2 linked regions of the Oreochromis niloticus genome follow. The protein of the gene in region 1 purifies or fractionates together with the protein of each later gene. This does not show direct contact. Links are inferred from orthologs where the notes say so. Each region holds a gene or a part of one and is shown on either strand. Other genes may lie near its edges.

Evidence for each region. Proteins that work in one complex are often made in the same cells at the same time.
Region 2: the proteins of histone H2A.Z (region 1) and acidic leucine-rich nuclear phosphoprotein 32 family member E purify together in Homo sapiens (affinity purification with mass spectrometry; 4 studies listed by BioGRID and IntAct, with this or other methods). This does not show direct contact. The link is inferred for Oreochromis niloticus from reciprocal best matches to the Homo sapiens genes H2AZ1 and ANP32E.

Annotation. Positions count from the first base shown.
Region 1 is NC_031967.2:1,586,792-1,593,661, forward strand, and holds histone H2A.Z, read right to left. Parts: upstream 2,336-6,870; 5' UTR 2,319-2,335; coding exon 2,208-2,318; exon of another isoform or gene 2,194-2,207; coding exon of another isoform or gene 2,191-2,193; intron 1,909-2,190; coding exon 1,831-1,908; intron 1,685-1,830; coding exon 1,571-1,684; intron 1,494-1,570; coding exon 1,364-1,493; intron 1,140-1,363; coding exon 1,078-1,139; 3' UTR 584-1,077; downstream 1-583. UniProt on the Homo sapiens protein: Variant histone H2A which replaces conventional H2A in a subset of nucleosomes. Nucleosomes wrap and compact DNA into chromatin, limiting DNA accessibility to the cellular machineries which require DNA as a template.
Region 2 is NC_031976.2:38,087,721-38,095,521, reverse strand, and holds the start of acidic leucine-rich nuclear phosphoprotein 32 family member E, read left to right. Parts: upstream 1-4,791; 5' UTR 4,792-4,946; coding exon 4,947-5,000; intron 5,001-5,087; exon of another isoform or gene 5,088-5,676; intron 5,677-7,801. Other genes in the region: mothers against decapentaplegic homolog 4, read left to right, coding at 1-114, 1,119-1,324. UniProt on the Homo sapiens protein: Histone chaperone that specifically mediates the genome-wide removal of histone H2A.Z/H2AZ1 from the nucleosome: removes H2A.Z/H2AZ1 from its normal sites of deposition, especially from enhancer and insulator regions.

The sequences.
Region 1 (6,870 bases):
CCAACCTGTCACACCTGTGGGTAACTAGGATTAATTTACCCAACCCCACTAACTGCAGGAGGCTGCCCAAATACTCAAAGAACCCATGCAAACCATAAAGGAAGGCCCAGCCAGGTCGTGGATGTAAACCCAGCACCTTGTTGTGAAGAAAGTGTTAGACATACTTAGAAATATAAGATCCGCCATCAGATGTAGTGCGTGGATTCATCAGTACTTGGGCCATGTAATCAAATAAAGGTCTGGCTGGCTTTGAAAATTTGAACCAACTCCAACCACCAAAGATTGGAGTTCTGACTTTTCAGTCATTTGCACCCATGAGAATTTCAGTGCATATTAGCAAATAAGTTTGAATATTCAGTAGACCTCAAGTATTTAAAAAAATAAATCTAAAACACTGCATGTAGCCAGCTCACCTAACGAGCCCATTGGCATTCCTCCAATTTTGTGTAAAACTGAACAAAAGTGGAATGAAAGCCAAAGCTTCACATTACGCCACCTGTAGTCATACATCACTGCATGATTAAGAGGAAAGTCACAGCACTCTGTTCAAAGAGAATAAGACAAAGACTAGGGGAAACACTCAGACTGTGCCAAATCCAGTCTTTATTCAGGAATCCAAAAATACCAACAAGGTTATGAACCGGTCCATGACAGTCCAGTGGTAAAGAGAATGAACATGCTTTGAAATACAAGGCTGAAATGGATGGTCTGCATTAAAGGTACATACAAAGCACAAGCACATCTTGAGTTTTCACAAAAGCTATGCACATCCTGTACTCCGTATCGACTAGGTTTGGTGGCTGTGAGCTCCTTTCAAAGCTGTGAAGATTAAAAACAGAAAGGCCAAATACACGTATACATCCAAGACAAGCCGGCTGGAGCCGCCCCCCACCCCCAAAAACCTGCAGGAGAGGGGAGGGGCCCACTATTAAAAAAAACAAAAAACCCAAAAACAAACCCCACCCAGAGTAGTAAATGCACACTACCATAAAATAATGTAAGATTACTAATCTAAGACATTTAACCACTTGATGCAGACTTCATCCTGAGATGGCACAACTTGCTGAACACTTCAGGTTATACAGTCTTCTGCTGGCCCTTCTTCCCGATCAGAGATTTGTGGATGTGCGGGATCACGCCTGGAAAAAATAAATGTTATAACAGTTTATATACTTGAACGGTTAAGTTTTCATTTCAGTAACCACTTTCAGCTGCTCCCTTGTAACAGAGTTGCCACAACAGTGTTGATGTTACAGTTTTACACCAGATGCAACACAAAAGGGATTTGTGCCTCAACAAAATGTGTAAACCACTACAGTACGGGAGTATAAGACCATCACACAGTTCTCTGTAATGTTCGTACCTCCGCCTGCAATAGTGGCCTTGATAAGTGAATCCAGCTCTTCATCTCCTCTAATAGCCAGCTGCAAGTGGCGTGGGGTTATACGCTTTACTTTAAGGTCCTTTGATGCATTTCCTGCCAACTCTAGAACCTGAAAGAGACACAGCCTTTACAAAAAGATCAACACCTCAAGCAACGAAGTGCAAGATAAACGGAGCTTAGGGTCACCTCAGCAGTAAGGTATTCGAGAATAGCCGCGCTGTACACCGCCGCGGTGGCTCCTACTCTGCCGTGGCTCGTTGTTCTGGACTTGAGGTGTCTGTGGATACGGCCTACCGGGAACTGCGGGGATAATGTGACACGAGTGAACAGAAGCAAAGCCGTGCTGGCCGCTCGATGAGAGCCCGCCACCGACAAAGAACCACTGACTTTTGGCTAATAGCGCGTGCTTGCGCAACCGAGAAAATGAATGAAATTTGGGGACAAACCTGCAGTCCTGCTCTCTGAGAGCGCGAAATCGCTTTGGTCTTGGTCTTTCCAGAGTCTTTACCAGCTTTACCACCAGCCTGTAAAACACCAGTACTGTTAGTGTGCCTCCGCCGAAACGCGCCTTATTGTAGCTCAACATTAACTTAAGGTCCGCTTAATATTCGCTAGCCATGCTAGCGCTTCCCCAGTGAAGCCAGTGGGTATTTAGCATGCTAATCCACTACACCAGCCAATGCTAGCGGCCAACTGTTAACTAATAAAGAAAATGCAACGCTACCAAATTAAGATTTGTTTCAAACAAACTACCTAAACAGAGTGTGTCGTTATAATGTTTCGTTAATACGACATGTAATACGTACCATATTTAAAAACTTACAAAGAAACTCTGACTCCGCAGCCAAAATAATATCCTCCGTCTGCACTGAATATCGACTGTTGTTTGAACTAGACCCCCTCCCCCCCACAGCGGGTCTTTATATACAACCATGGCTACCCGGATGACGGCAGTCACGTGATTACCGCTGCAGCTCTTCAGCCAATAAATGAGCTCTCTGTGCGGTTCCGTTCTAAGAGCTTATGGGTAATGTAGTTTATGTGGCGTATCCCTTTCCCATTTTATATCGAAATGAGTTAGCATTAGTTTTTCTTTCACATGTCATTAACTTTTAATTTACTATAGATAAAAGTCCCCACATACATTCATCTTCTTATCTGCTTATCCAGTTTAGGGTTTAGGCAGAAAGCTATCAAAGCTGATGGTAAAATTAAATAGCCCCATTTGGTAAAACCTCGCCTCTGTCAGTGCACCCCAGGGCAGCCGTGGCTACAATGTAGCTTGCCATCACCTGTTGTGAATGGGTGGATGACTGAATGTAGTGTAAAGCGCTTTGGGGTCCATAGGGACTAAGTAAAGCGCTATACAAATACAGGCCATTTACCATTTAGTTTAGTATATGAAGCACAGCAGAGTGCTCACCCCCGCCTCCCCCACATACCAATTTTCAGGGTCTTGCACGTTACCTCTTTTCTAAAAACACATATGTACTCGAGCAGAGGTCAGTGCAATAGCCTGGAAATCTAATTGCTCTGAGTATCATTTAACTCTAAGGTTGGGAAATTGCTGCTATTCTTGTATAACTGGAAGAACTTTGCTGAAGCAGCATGATCAAATGTTTAAAATAATGGGATTCCCTGTGCTGACTGGGACAACTGGCCACACCATCAACAGGATAAAGCAACCAGCCACAAGCAGACAAAGAAGGCAAACTGAAGAAAAAGTTGGTGCTCTGTGTTTGAAGTAATTTAATTACAGCCTGCATCAATCCATCCATCCTAAATGAATGTTGAATGAATCTCTGTGTGTTACATAGATGTCACAAGCTACCTGTAAAAATTCCCAGGCAGAAAGAGAGAGAGACAGAGCAATGGCCACTCATAAAGATCAGCCAGAAATCTATCACTTCCTACAGCTGTGCCTCAGATATGCAAGATTTTAGCCAAAGACTGGGTGTAGACTCAGTTCCACTCAGCCTTGATAAGGAAATGGCTCGAGCATCATAATGATCTTTTACACCACTTGTTCCAACCACCCCAAATGATACAGGAAGAGGGGAAAAGTCGTCGACCAAAAGGCCGTTCAACTTGAGCAAAAGCCTTCTCGGCACAAAGAGAGATACAACTGAATCCTCCCTGCTGTGAGCAGGGATATGGATGATACCAAAGAGTCTCTGCATGTTGAAATGAATATGCCCACTGGGTATGAACTTTGTCTGATCCAGAAGTATGATTTTGGCAGTATAAGTTTTCAGATGATTAGATCCTGGTTTTTGCTTAGACTGAAAGGAGAGATACAGGTTTGTACTATGAGATGAAAGTAGGGTCACAGTTCTGTTTCAAAATCAGAGCGATCCTCGCCGGATAAAGTGAATCCAGTACGATGCCCACTTCTTTAGACTGATTCAACATTCAAAGGACCGGAGACCAATAATATGCTCTATGCTTGTAACAGAAGGACCTATCAGTCTGTTTGTGCAGCTTTCCAGCTGTCACACTCCAGCTCAGTCCAGCACTGCTCGCAACAGCCGACTTAAAGAGAGGAGGGATGATTAGCTGATGGAGATCTGCTGTGTTGGTCAGCCCCACCCCCCTAACTGGGAGAGGAAATCAGCCATGGGTCTGCTGGGGGCCGTGTGGTGTCAGGGGAGGCTGACTAACACAGCAGATGGACTTTGAAAAAAAAGAAAAAAAATCAAAAAAATCAAAACTTTTTGTAAAGTCATAAGAAGAGCTGTCTTGTTGTCTCTTTGTTGTACATGGCTGCATCACAATACTGTAAAATCAGTAATATTGTAGTGTGAGCCATCATGTGCTGGATATGGAGAGATCAGGTTATGAACTAAACCAACAATGTTTCCACAATCCACATGAGGGAAATACTGAGAGTAGGAGAGAAAGAGAGGGACAGCTCAGAAGAAAAAGGCATAAAGAGCGTGAGAAGCGCTGATGTCATTTTTCCTGCGGGGACTTGAGCGGAAACAAAAATAGAAAATAAATAAATAAAATCTTTGGTGGGAAAATAGTGCAGCTGGAGAGTAGCTGACTGGGTCACTGATGAAAGACAAAAATAGATGCTAGTTTTTTACATGATGTCATCCTGTCACAATATGTTGAGTGAACTAATCCATTGAGCTAGTTATTACCAGCCAACACGGGAAATTCAACCTTTAAAGAGTGCTGAAGGAATGAGTGTTACAAACCCAACGTTATTATTTGGCATTGGCTCAATATTTTAAACTGAATTTTTTCCCCTTTTCATACGAGTCCAAATCCAACATCAAACTGTGGATAACAGAGGGTGTCAAAGCTGTCCTCAGCAGGAAGAAGGAGGCCTTCAGAACCAAGGACAGGACAGTTATCAAGTCAGCACAGCAGGAGGTGAAGCAGTGCCTGAAGGTGGCCAAGGATGCCTAAGACTACGTCCACACTAGCCCAGATAGATTTGAAAACGGCGTTTTCGTCTGAAAATGCTTCACATCCACACTAGCGTTTTCAGTCTTTTTCACAGAGTTGTGCATCCACATTGAAACGGCTAAAAATACTTAGGTTCCAGTCTAGCACATGCGTGAAGCGCAAGAAGATTCGGCCTGCCTCATTTCTGTCTGCCGTTCATTTACTTTCCGGCTCTTTGAAACGTCGCGGCAGAATGTCGAGGAAAAGCACCGAGTTTTTTAAATGGACTAACAATGAGGTGGAGTTGTTGCTGCGAGTAACACAAAAGTACAAAGTTGCAAAAGCGAGTGAGAATGCGTCATCGCTTTAGAAAGTCTCCGTTTTCACTGTCCACACTGTGACGCAAACGCACCGTCTTCAAATGTATTCCTTTTCGAGAGCGTTTTCAAAACGCTTCGTTTTCCTTGGGGAAAGCGCCGTCTCAGTGTGGACGGTTGGCCAAAACGGAGAAAAAACTATGCATTTTCAAACGAAAACGCATTAGTGTGGACGTAGCCTAAGTCCCTTTTCCATTAGTCCCTATTCAGACCGACAGCTGAGCTGGTGGAGCCGTTCCAACAAGAGGGCCCACTCAATGGAAAATATCTTGTATCGTAAACAGAGCTGGACTCCAGCTAATGGCGGTTTGGTCTGAGTAGCGTTTCGGTGAGCTCCTGCAGAGTTGGGTGGTTTTTTTCAATTATTACTGAGCACTTTTTCTCTGACTCGACCCCAAGCAATATCTAAGTCCTTTTACAATTGTAAACTTTTATATTTTGGTCACTAAAATGCCACCAAAGCCGACTAAATGAGGAAACTTGATCCAGCCTCGCCTGCAGCCTCTCCTGATGAGCCCTTGACCTGTCCTGAGTTGGCGACTGGGGCCCAGGCTGCCGATAGTAGCCGTGTCTGTGCTCTCAAAGTAGAGTAGGAGAGTTTCACCTAACTAAAGGTAACGGTTACCGAGATGCAGCGATCCCTGTCCACCTGTACTGACGACATCATCAGCCTCCAGAGAAAAGTGGACCATCTAACTAAGGCGGTGGCCAAGTTGGAGGATAAATGTGACGATTTGGAGTCCAGGTGTCAAAACATCCGCATCATTGGTGTTCTGAAAGACGACCCATTGTCAGCATCCACGGATGCCGATTCGCAGTTGCTAAAGGAGGCCTTTGACCTCCCAGAGGAGCCGCTGCTAGATCGCGCTCACCGTACTCTGGCTCCCAAGCCCAAGACACAAGAGCGGCCCTGTGCCATAGTAGCTAACTACATTACTACACTGACTGTGTTAAAATCCTTTCGAGGGCAAGGGAGCTTCAGTGGATCAAGGTGAACAATATGACCATCTCGGTTTTCACCGATTATCCCGCCAAGACGGCGCGAGCACATGCAGCCTTTGCAAACAGCTGCCGCTAGCTCAGAGGAGTCAAAGGGGTCCGATTCGACCTGCTGCACCCAGCCCGGCTGTGGATTATTCATGATGGGGTCACATGGGACTTACATTAAGACGATAACCAAGTAAGAAAAATATATCTAGGGGAACTGTTGATGTTTCCGGTTTATACTTCACGTTTTGAGGAGTGTATTTTTCTTTCTCATGGATAACTTTATCTTTGATATTCATAAAATGTAGTCTTTAAATGTTTGTTTCGTACTGGTTTACCTCGAAGCCAGAATTTTCACCGCAGGCATTCTTGGTTCCTGAGAATAGTGCCTAATGTATATTTTCATTCTATACTGCATGTCTAGTTCTGTAGGATTCACCCAGCACTTAGAGGTGTTTTTTCATTGCGCTATCTAGCTGTAAACATAAGTTTGTCAGTGACTCCCATAGGAGTCTGCAGTGAGGAAAGACAGAGTGAAAGCAAGGGGAGCCGAGCTCCTGGACCAGGTACGCACTGCTCGTTTTTTCACAACACTGGATTTAACCACGGGCTGGCTGGGTACTACTGCCAGTTTATGCCAGGCTTCACAGACCTGATCAGCCCCTTGACTGATCTCGCCCCAGATCTGGTCCAGTGGACGGAGCAGTGTCAGGCAGCGTTCGTACA
Region 2 (7,801 bases), on another chromosome or scaffold:
GGCAGATGCAGCAGCAGGCGGCAGCGGCTCAGGCAGCTGTGGAGACTCAGGCAGCCGCGGTTGTCGGTGCAATTCCCGGTCCGAACAGTGTGGGAGGGATCGCGCCTGCTGTCAGTGAGTATCACCTGCCCCACACCGCCAATGACAGACAGGCACAGGTGTAATTTTCACTGTTTGGACCAGAGCGCAGACGGTAACTCTTAAATCAGTGACAAGACCAAGACCGTGTGCACCAACATTTAAGTATTTTTGTCGTTTCATAAAGTATTTAAACAAAAGATTAGTAATTTCGAAAAATGAAACTGTCAGCTGTGTGTGTGTGTGTGTGTGTGTGTGTGTGTGTGTGTGAAGCGCCTCCTGCTGGACACACTGTGACTGTGAGGGACTAAAAGCGTGAATGAAATCTTGTTTGAGAAGACGGAGAGTTATTGGCCTAATATCTGTGAGCTGATGGGCAGGGTAAGGCTGAAGCAGGAAGTGTGTGGAAGGTGAAGCGAGGCCTTCAACGAGTTCTCACTGATCTCTGATTTTAAGACCTGCAGCTCGAATGTTTCACAGAAAAAGGTCCAAACACAGTCAGAGCTGAGACACAGATGTAATCTGATTACCTGATTCTCCAGCACGGAGGACCAACAATCAAACATCCATAAGAAATAAATCAATACCTCAGTAAATGGATTCATATCTGTCAGTGCAAAACGATAATTAAAAATTAAATGTAGCCATTAATTATAAGGTAATGAGAAGACGCCTGTGGGTCAGTCAGCTGGTGACCTCACTATGATTGACGGGCGTCTCTCCCGGAATAAAGAGGTTCAAATTCATAAAACGGGAAAAGGAGAAATCAAAAAATAAACTGGGTGACAAAAGCGTATCGATGAATCAATAAAATAAAACATGAACCAGACGCAGTACTTAAAGGACTTACCTGCAGAGTGAATTGAGTCAGATTCGTGTTGGACATTTTGGGCCTCAGTGCAACTTCCTGCTTTTTCATGCGTTTAATCTTATTTCGCTCCGTTTTTAAGGTGGGCGGCCTCGGCCCTCCGTGTAAGCCTCCTGGTTTTAATTTCACACGTTTTTGTTTCTGTGTGTCTCACCTGTGCTTTCTGCCGCAGGTGTGCGCTCAGCGGCCGGTCTGGGCGTGGACGACCTCCGCAGGCTGTGCATCGTGCGGCTGAGCTTCGTCAAAGGGTGGGGGTGTGACTACCCACGGCAGAGCATCAAGGACACCCCCTGCTGGCTGGAGGTGCACCTGCACAGAGCGCTGCAGCTGCTTGACCAGGTGCTGCACACGCTGCCGCCGCGAGAGCACGCACTCTAGGACCTCCGCCGACAAACACACCGGAGCAGGTCATCGGTCGGTTCACACGGGTTTCAGACAATCAGCCGATCGCAGCGTCTCGTTTCTGCTGTCGTTTAAGTTCGTTTCCGTGGAAACCAGCGTGACACGTTAAAGGGTCAGCTCACGCGAAGCGTCATTGAGTTTCTGCTCGAGCACCCCCGCTGGTCTGCGGTTTATTAGCTCCACCCCCTCAACAGGTGAACTGACCCTTTAAGCCTGATGTCAGAAATCAGCTGATTACCAAAAAATCCTCGTCATCATCATCTTCCTCCTGTCGGTTTTTAGTTCCTTTAGCTGATTGTTGACCAAAGAGCCATTCCTGTTTCTTTGATGACATCACATCCTGTTTACGTTGCGTTTCTGCTCCCTCTGACAGTCACATTATTTATTCTGTCGTCTGCTTTTTTTCTCACGTTTAACTCATTTAAAGGCTTTTATACTGAAAGGGTGTAAAGCTCTGAATCATCAGCTGTCTCTTCAAATTAAAAGTCTCTGGTGGATAAAGATCTGCTTCGTCTTTGTTCGTCTTTCACTCTGCGTTCAGAAACGCTTCCATAGGAACACTCTCCTCTCCATCCACACTCAGTGATCAGGTAGGGCGCTCCCAGGAAGTCCATCAACGATCCAGGTGACCTCTGCGGTCTCAGCTGACCCGATGATTAATGATCTGCGCTGGAAACGATCAAACGAGGAGCTTCATTCATGAGAGCTGCTCCACTTAGGGCAGCAGGGAGCTGAAACAGAAACAGGCCACACCTGGTCCATAAAAAAGGCCACACCCTCTTCAATGTACTGACGCGCACACAGAAATAATCCATCAGATATCGTCAGATCCCCTGCGAGTGTCCCAGTAACCAATCAGATTTGGGCTACATCACTACTGTTACACGTGTACCTTTGTCCACGTTTTCAGATGTTTTCTGAACGTAAAACAGACGGACGAAGACGTGTTTGGCGATCGCAGGAATTAAAGCAGCGAATCCATCTTTCTTTTACAGATTTAATCTTACTGGTTTGTGAAGAGATTCTTCATGAATAAAGGCCAAGTTACGAAGAGGAAACACGAGCGCCACGCTTCTCTTACGCCCACCGTTTTTCATCAAAACCGAGGAAATTAGGAAGACAGGCCGCGTTGTAGTACCTTCATGGACCTGTTGATTAATAACCTGCACATATGTTTGGACCCACAGCTGAACTCTGAGTCAGTGTAAAGGGTCTGAGCTTTAGTGAAATGAGGTTCGCAATTCAGTCTGCTGTGGTTCAAATGTTCTTGAGAGTGACGGAGCTCCTCTGGATCGTCTCTGCAGCAGCAGGAGGAAGAATTATGTTTTTCATGGCTGCGTCTCGTTCATGTGACCTGCAGAAAGCAGCAGTAACAACGATGTGCTCAAGTATGTCACATGATCTGTCTGTAGTCCACATTCAGAACACTGGAGTTTCTCCACAGCTGTGGAGACATCTCAGCTCACTAGCCACTGCAATCCAGAAACAGTCCAGAGTGTAGCTAAACCCATTTTCAGTTAGTATGTTTAATTGTTTTATTCTAAAATATATCGTTTTTTAAGACCATTGTTGGTTTTCATCTAGTTTAAACCAAACCACTCTGCTGGATTTAGCTAGTAGCTAGCGAGCTGATTGGAGACCTAAACAGCCAATCAGAATTTTTGCATCCAAGTCTGTGATTGGTTGGTTTTGTGGCACATTTATAACGTTGTACAGAGAGTTAAGAGTGCAGGCAGCAGAGATGTAGAGAGCAGGTCTGCAGACGTCTGAGCACACAGAGCAGAGATCTGAGCGAGAGCGGCTGTTATTGTGTGTGTGTGTTTATGGATATTAGCAAACACTGAAACACTGAGTTTTCTTCCTTCAAAGTAATTTTCTCCTCAAAATGCAACATTTGTACTTGCAACAATGATTTCCATGCGCTCAGAATAGATGCACAAAAATAACGCCATAGATTCGAAAGAGTTTCAGGGCCACGTTAAGAACCTGTTTGCTCATGTACACCGGGTCAACGCAGTGCAGTGAAGTTAACCATATTTGCATCATAATCTCATCTCAGAGCATTCAGCAGAGAGAAGATCTGCTCTCTGTTCTCAGCGTGCTCACCATGACCTAAAACTTCAAAATAAATAGAATAGAATAGCTTCCATTGTCACTACACACATGCCCCATACACACATAAGATCCAGAGCATCTGTGTTGAAGAAAACCAACCAAAATGAAAACATGGCCGCCTGTACATGCATGCAACACCAAGCACCTGGTGAGGAAATGGAAGTTAGACGCTAAAGAACAGCATCACACAGAGGTCCAACACTGCCCTCTGCAGGCATGCACAAGTCACAGTCTAAATGTGATTGGAGGAGCTGAAAGAGTCAAATCTGACCAGCGCACAGGGTTGGTGGAACCAAATGGCAGCAGTGCTGAAAATGCTGATGGAGAAAAAGTTTCCAACTGTTACAGAGAGTGAATGATTGTTGGCTGTCCCTCCCTGAGCCTGGTTCTGCTGGAGGAGTCTTCCTGTTAAAAGGGAGTTTTTCCTTCCCCCTGTCACCACGTGCTTGCTCATAGGGGGTTTTCTCTGTATTATTGAAGGCTCTTTACCTTACAACATAAAGCACCTTAAGGCAACTGTTGTTCTCTGCAGACACACGTGTTACTGGAGCTCTGTAGACTCTTAAAGTTTGACTCTTCCAAATAACTGCCCACACAGGTGCTCGAGGCTTTCTGGCTACCTTTAGACTTGTGTCTGGAAAGACTTTGGTGGTATCTCATGTTTACCTCAGCAATCAGACAGGTGGAAGGTTAAAGGTCAGGAAAATCATGGACTCTGATTATCTGATCAAAGGAAAGTCTAAACTTAAGTGAAAATCTGTGTTTCGGTCACTTTGGTTTTTTTACAGAAAAAATGTTCAAGTAAATTATATGATTTATTTGTTTCATATTTTTCTACCACGTCACCTCCCATGGCTCTTAATAACAAGAAGAAGAAGAAGGAGAATATAACCTGTAATAAATATGAAAAGATATAGAAAATACTTTGATTAACCATGATATGAATCATGTTTATTATTGCAATAAATACTTAAAACAACAAACAGCCTCTGTGGTCAGATCAAAGGCACGAAGTTGGATGTAATAATGTGTGTATAGGTGAATTATTGATGTAAACACTGTGGTTATTTTGTGGTAATCGATGAAAAATGATCACAGTGACCATTGCAATATGGCGCCAACGAGGACAAAGAGAGGGCGCCTGTAAAGTTTAAACGTTTCATGTTCACCCTCTCATTGGTAACACTAAAGTGACGTAGTTGCATTTACAGCCACTCACAGACGAGGTCTGTGCATATTAAGATGCTAGGGGGGGGCTTAGTAAGTTGATCGTGTTTGGACCAATAACAGGTTAAGCTTCTTAAAAATATGGATATTCATTAGATGGGGGCGTGGTCTAACAGTGGAGGACCGGCAACAGCGAACATGGAGGTTTAGTTGTCGCCTTGTGTCCGTAGAAGAAGGAGTGTTTCACTGACGCGCATTTTATTTTCACTTTTCCTTTGTTATACTTTGTTTTTTCGCCCTCTGTTCGGGCTTCGACATGGAGATGAAGAAGAGGATTAGTCTGGAGCTGAGGAACAGAAATCCAGCCGAGGCAAGTAACTACAACACTTTAATTTATTTATTTCGTGAAGAAACTGGTGAAGGATGCCGTGTGAAGCCATGACGATGCTGATAACATTCAGCGTGGGCGGCCGTCGACTTTTCCCAACCCGCGGACTGATCTTCTGTCGGTGTTTTTGAACGATAAGACGCGACATGTTTGTGGCTCCAACATGGAGGAAACTCCGCTCGGTCCTGGAGGAGCCCGCGGCGTGCAGGCTCGATCCCTCTCCCGCGCTCACTTCTCGCGGGGCAGCCTCGCGCGAGCCTCCCGCAGCTAGCACACGGGCTAACAGGCTAACCTGCCGAGCGCCCAGCCCTCATAACAGAACCGCGGCCGGGGGAGCGCGCCGAGAGCCGCCGCTGGTCCTCGACGGTACCGAGAAAATGTAGTCGCGGACTGTGGCTGGGTTCGGCTGCATTTGTTTGAACACCCCGGGGTGACCGCTCGGCCGAGCAGGCTCCCATTTTAACCTTTACTGTTAGAGAGTTACTGATCCGCGATGGTCGTGCTGTGATGGCGTTTGCGGCCGGACTCCATTCTCATTTCAGCGTTTAAGCTCATATAGTTCTAAGTCAAGTCATTTTTCTATTATAACATCTTTAAAGGCTCTCCACAGTTTCCGTGTCGCCACGGGTCAGTTCGACCCAGGCGCTGTCTGAAAACGGTACGTTGTTCACAATAAATCGGAGTTTAAAGAGTTGTTGTTCAGTCTGCTGTTCCCGCCCTCCTTGCTGTGTTTTCAGGCGCACGAGTGCCGCGCGCTTAAATTTCACAAAAACTACGCGAGGTTCGGTGGGAGGCGGATTTAAACTATGGAGAGGGTTTTTAAAAAGTTTCTCACACTGCCGCACGAACAGTTTTGGTGGGTGAGGTGTGCTCTCATGTCGGTGATAGTAACGGTGAAGCTGAGCGCCGGTTTTCCGGTCACACACTAACAGCTATATGGATGAGATCCAGCGGGAGAGGTGGAGTGCTGGCCCGGGCGAAGAGCTCCGACCGAAAGTGACACTCGTTTAGTTTTCTGAAGACTCCCCAGAAACCTCTGAAACCCGGGTTTACCAGATACCTCCTCCTGATGAGCTCCTCGGCATTTCCAGCGTTAAACCACGTGGTTATTCATGTACCTGAGAACGGCCATACCTGTTTACCTGTCCTGCACATGCATGGTTCCCCCCCAAACACTCACTGTGCAAGCACCCTGCTGGATTTGTTGTTGTTGTCGTTATCAAAACATATAAGTCATGATGACCCGCGCATGCTCAAACCCAGGGCTGGTGAAGCTTTATGTGTGTTCTTTGTTATTTTTATTTCACCTTTATACAGGTAAATCTCATTGAGACACGAGGTCTCATTTTCAAGCGCGACCTGTTCTGGGTCGGTCTTGAATGTGGGTAGTGTAAAATGGCTCCACAGCTGAGGAGCCCCGCCCACTGTGTATGAAGTTGGGTGCACACCTGTAACTGTGGGCAGGGAGATGTGTGAGTGTGTAACACCCGGCAGACTGACCCCCCCGCCCCTCGCGGGCTACAGTAGTTTTTAAATGCTGAAGCGCTGGAAGATGGTTTATTTAAAACAGGGGTCCCCAATCTCAGTCCACGAGGGCCGGTGTCCCTACAGGTTTTAGATGTGTCCTTGATCCATCACAGCTGATTTTAATGAATAAATTACCTTCTCAACATGTCTTGAAGTTCTCCAGAGGCTAATCATGTGATTCAGGTGTGTTGACCCAGGGTGAGATCTAAAACCTGCAGGGACACCGGCCCTCGTGGACTGAGATTGGGGACCCCTGATTTAAAACATTATATTTTACGGTCACAGACTGCAGTCTGTGTGTACGCCACCAGGTGGCAACAGGTGTGTGTGTGTGTGTGTGTGTGAGACATGCAAGCTGAAAGTTTGAATATGTGTGATGTGTAATAGGGGTGGGTGGTATAAACGGTATAGGGTAGAAACGATATAAATTTGGCCAATGGTAGAGATTTTGACTATACCACTGTACCGTGATAGGCGCAGCTTGATGACACTATCAACATGCGCTGTTTTGGTCGAAAGCATCGCAGCGGCTGCAAACAACATCATCTGCAAATTATGCCGGGCAACAGTAACAGCAAAGAGACAAAGCACTTTTGGAATATGGGGAAAGCCAAAAACTGCGCTTCCTCCACTTCCCTACCATTGATTCATTAATGCTGAATTCCCTAACAACTGCTCTATTCCCATGTTGTAGCAGTATATTAATGACTAACCTCGTATTGTGGATGGATTATCTCAGTTCTCCTGACTGAAGTTTGGTCTGTTTACAGCATCCTGCCATGGGATTGCATTTGTCCCTAACCATCGGGAACCCTCACGTTAACTTTTATCGAGTGGAAAAAAGTTAGCGGCCATCCTTCAACTTTACTGTGCTAATGTTAATCTAACGTAGCTGTTTTGCTAGCGATCACGTAGCACATCATTATATACCACCTAGTCCAACTTCAGTAACCCTACAAATGTCACTGCTGTTTAGTTTTCTGTCTTCATTTATGTTGGAAGTGATAGCAGAGCTGTACGTAGTGCTGGGCGATATGGAAAAAATATTTATCACGATATGAATTATTTTATATCACGATAACGATATATATCATGATATACCACCTGACCTGTGCTCATCTGGAAAGTACGCAGTCTGTAAACAGCAAGTGCCGAGGGTGCAGTCTTTGTTTTGACTTACCGTAAAGTATGTCGCAAATCCGGGTGCACGTACAGCAGCACCATGTCGCAAACCACAAGACGGAGTTTGTTTGCAA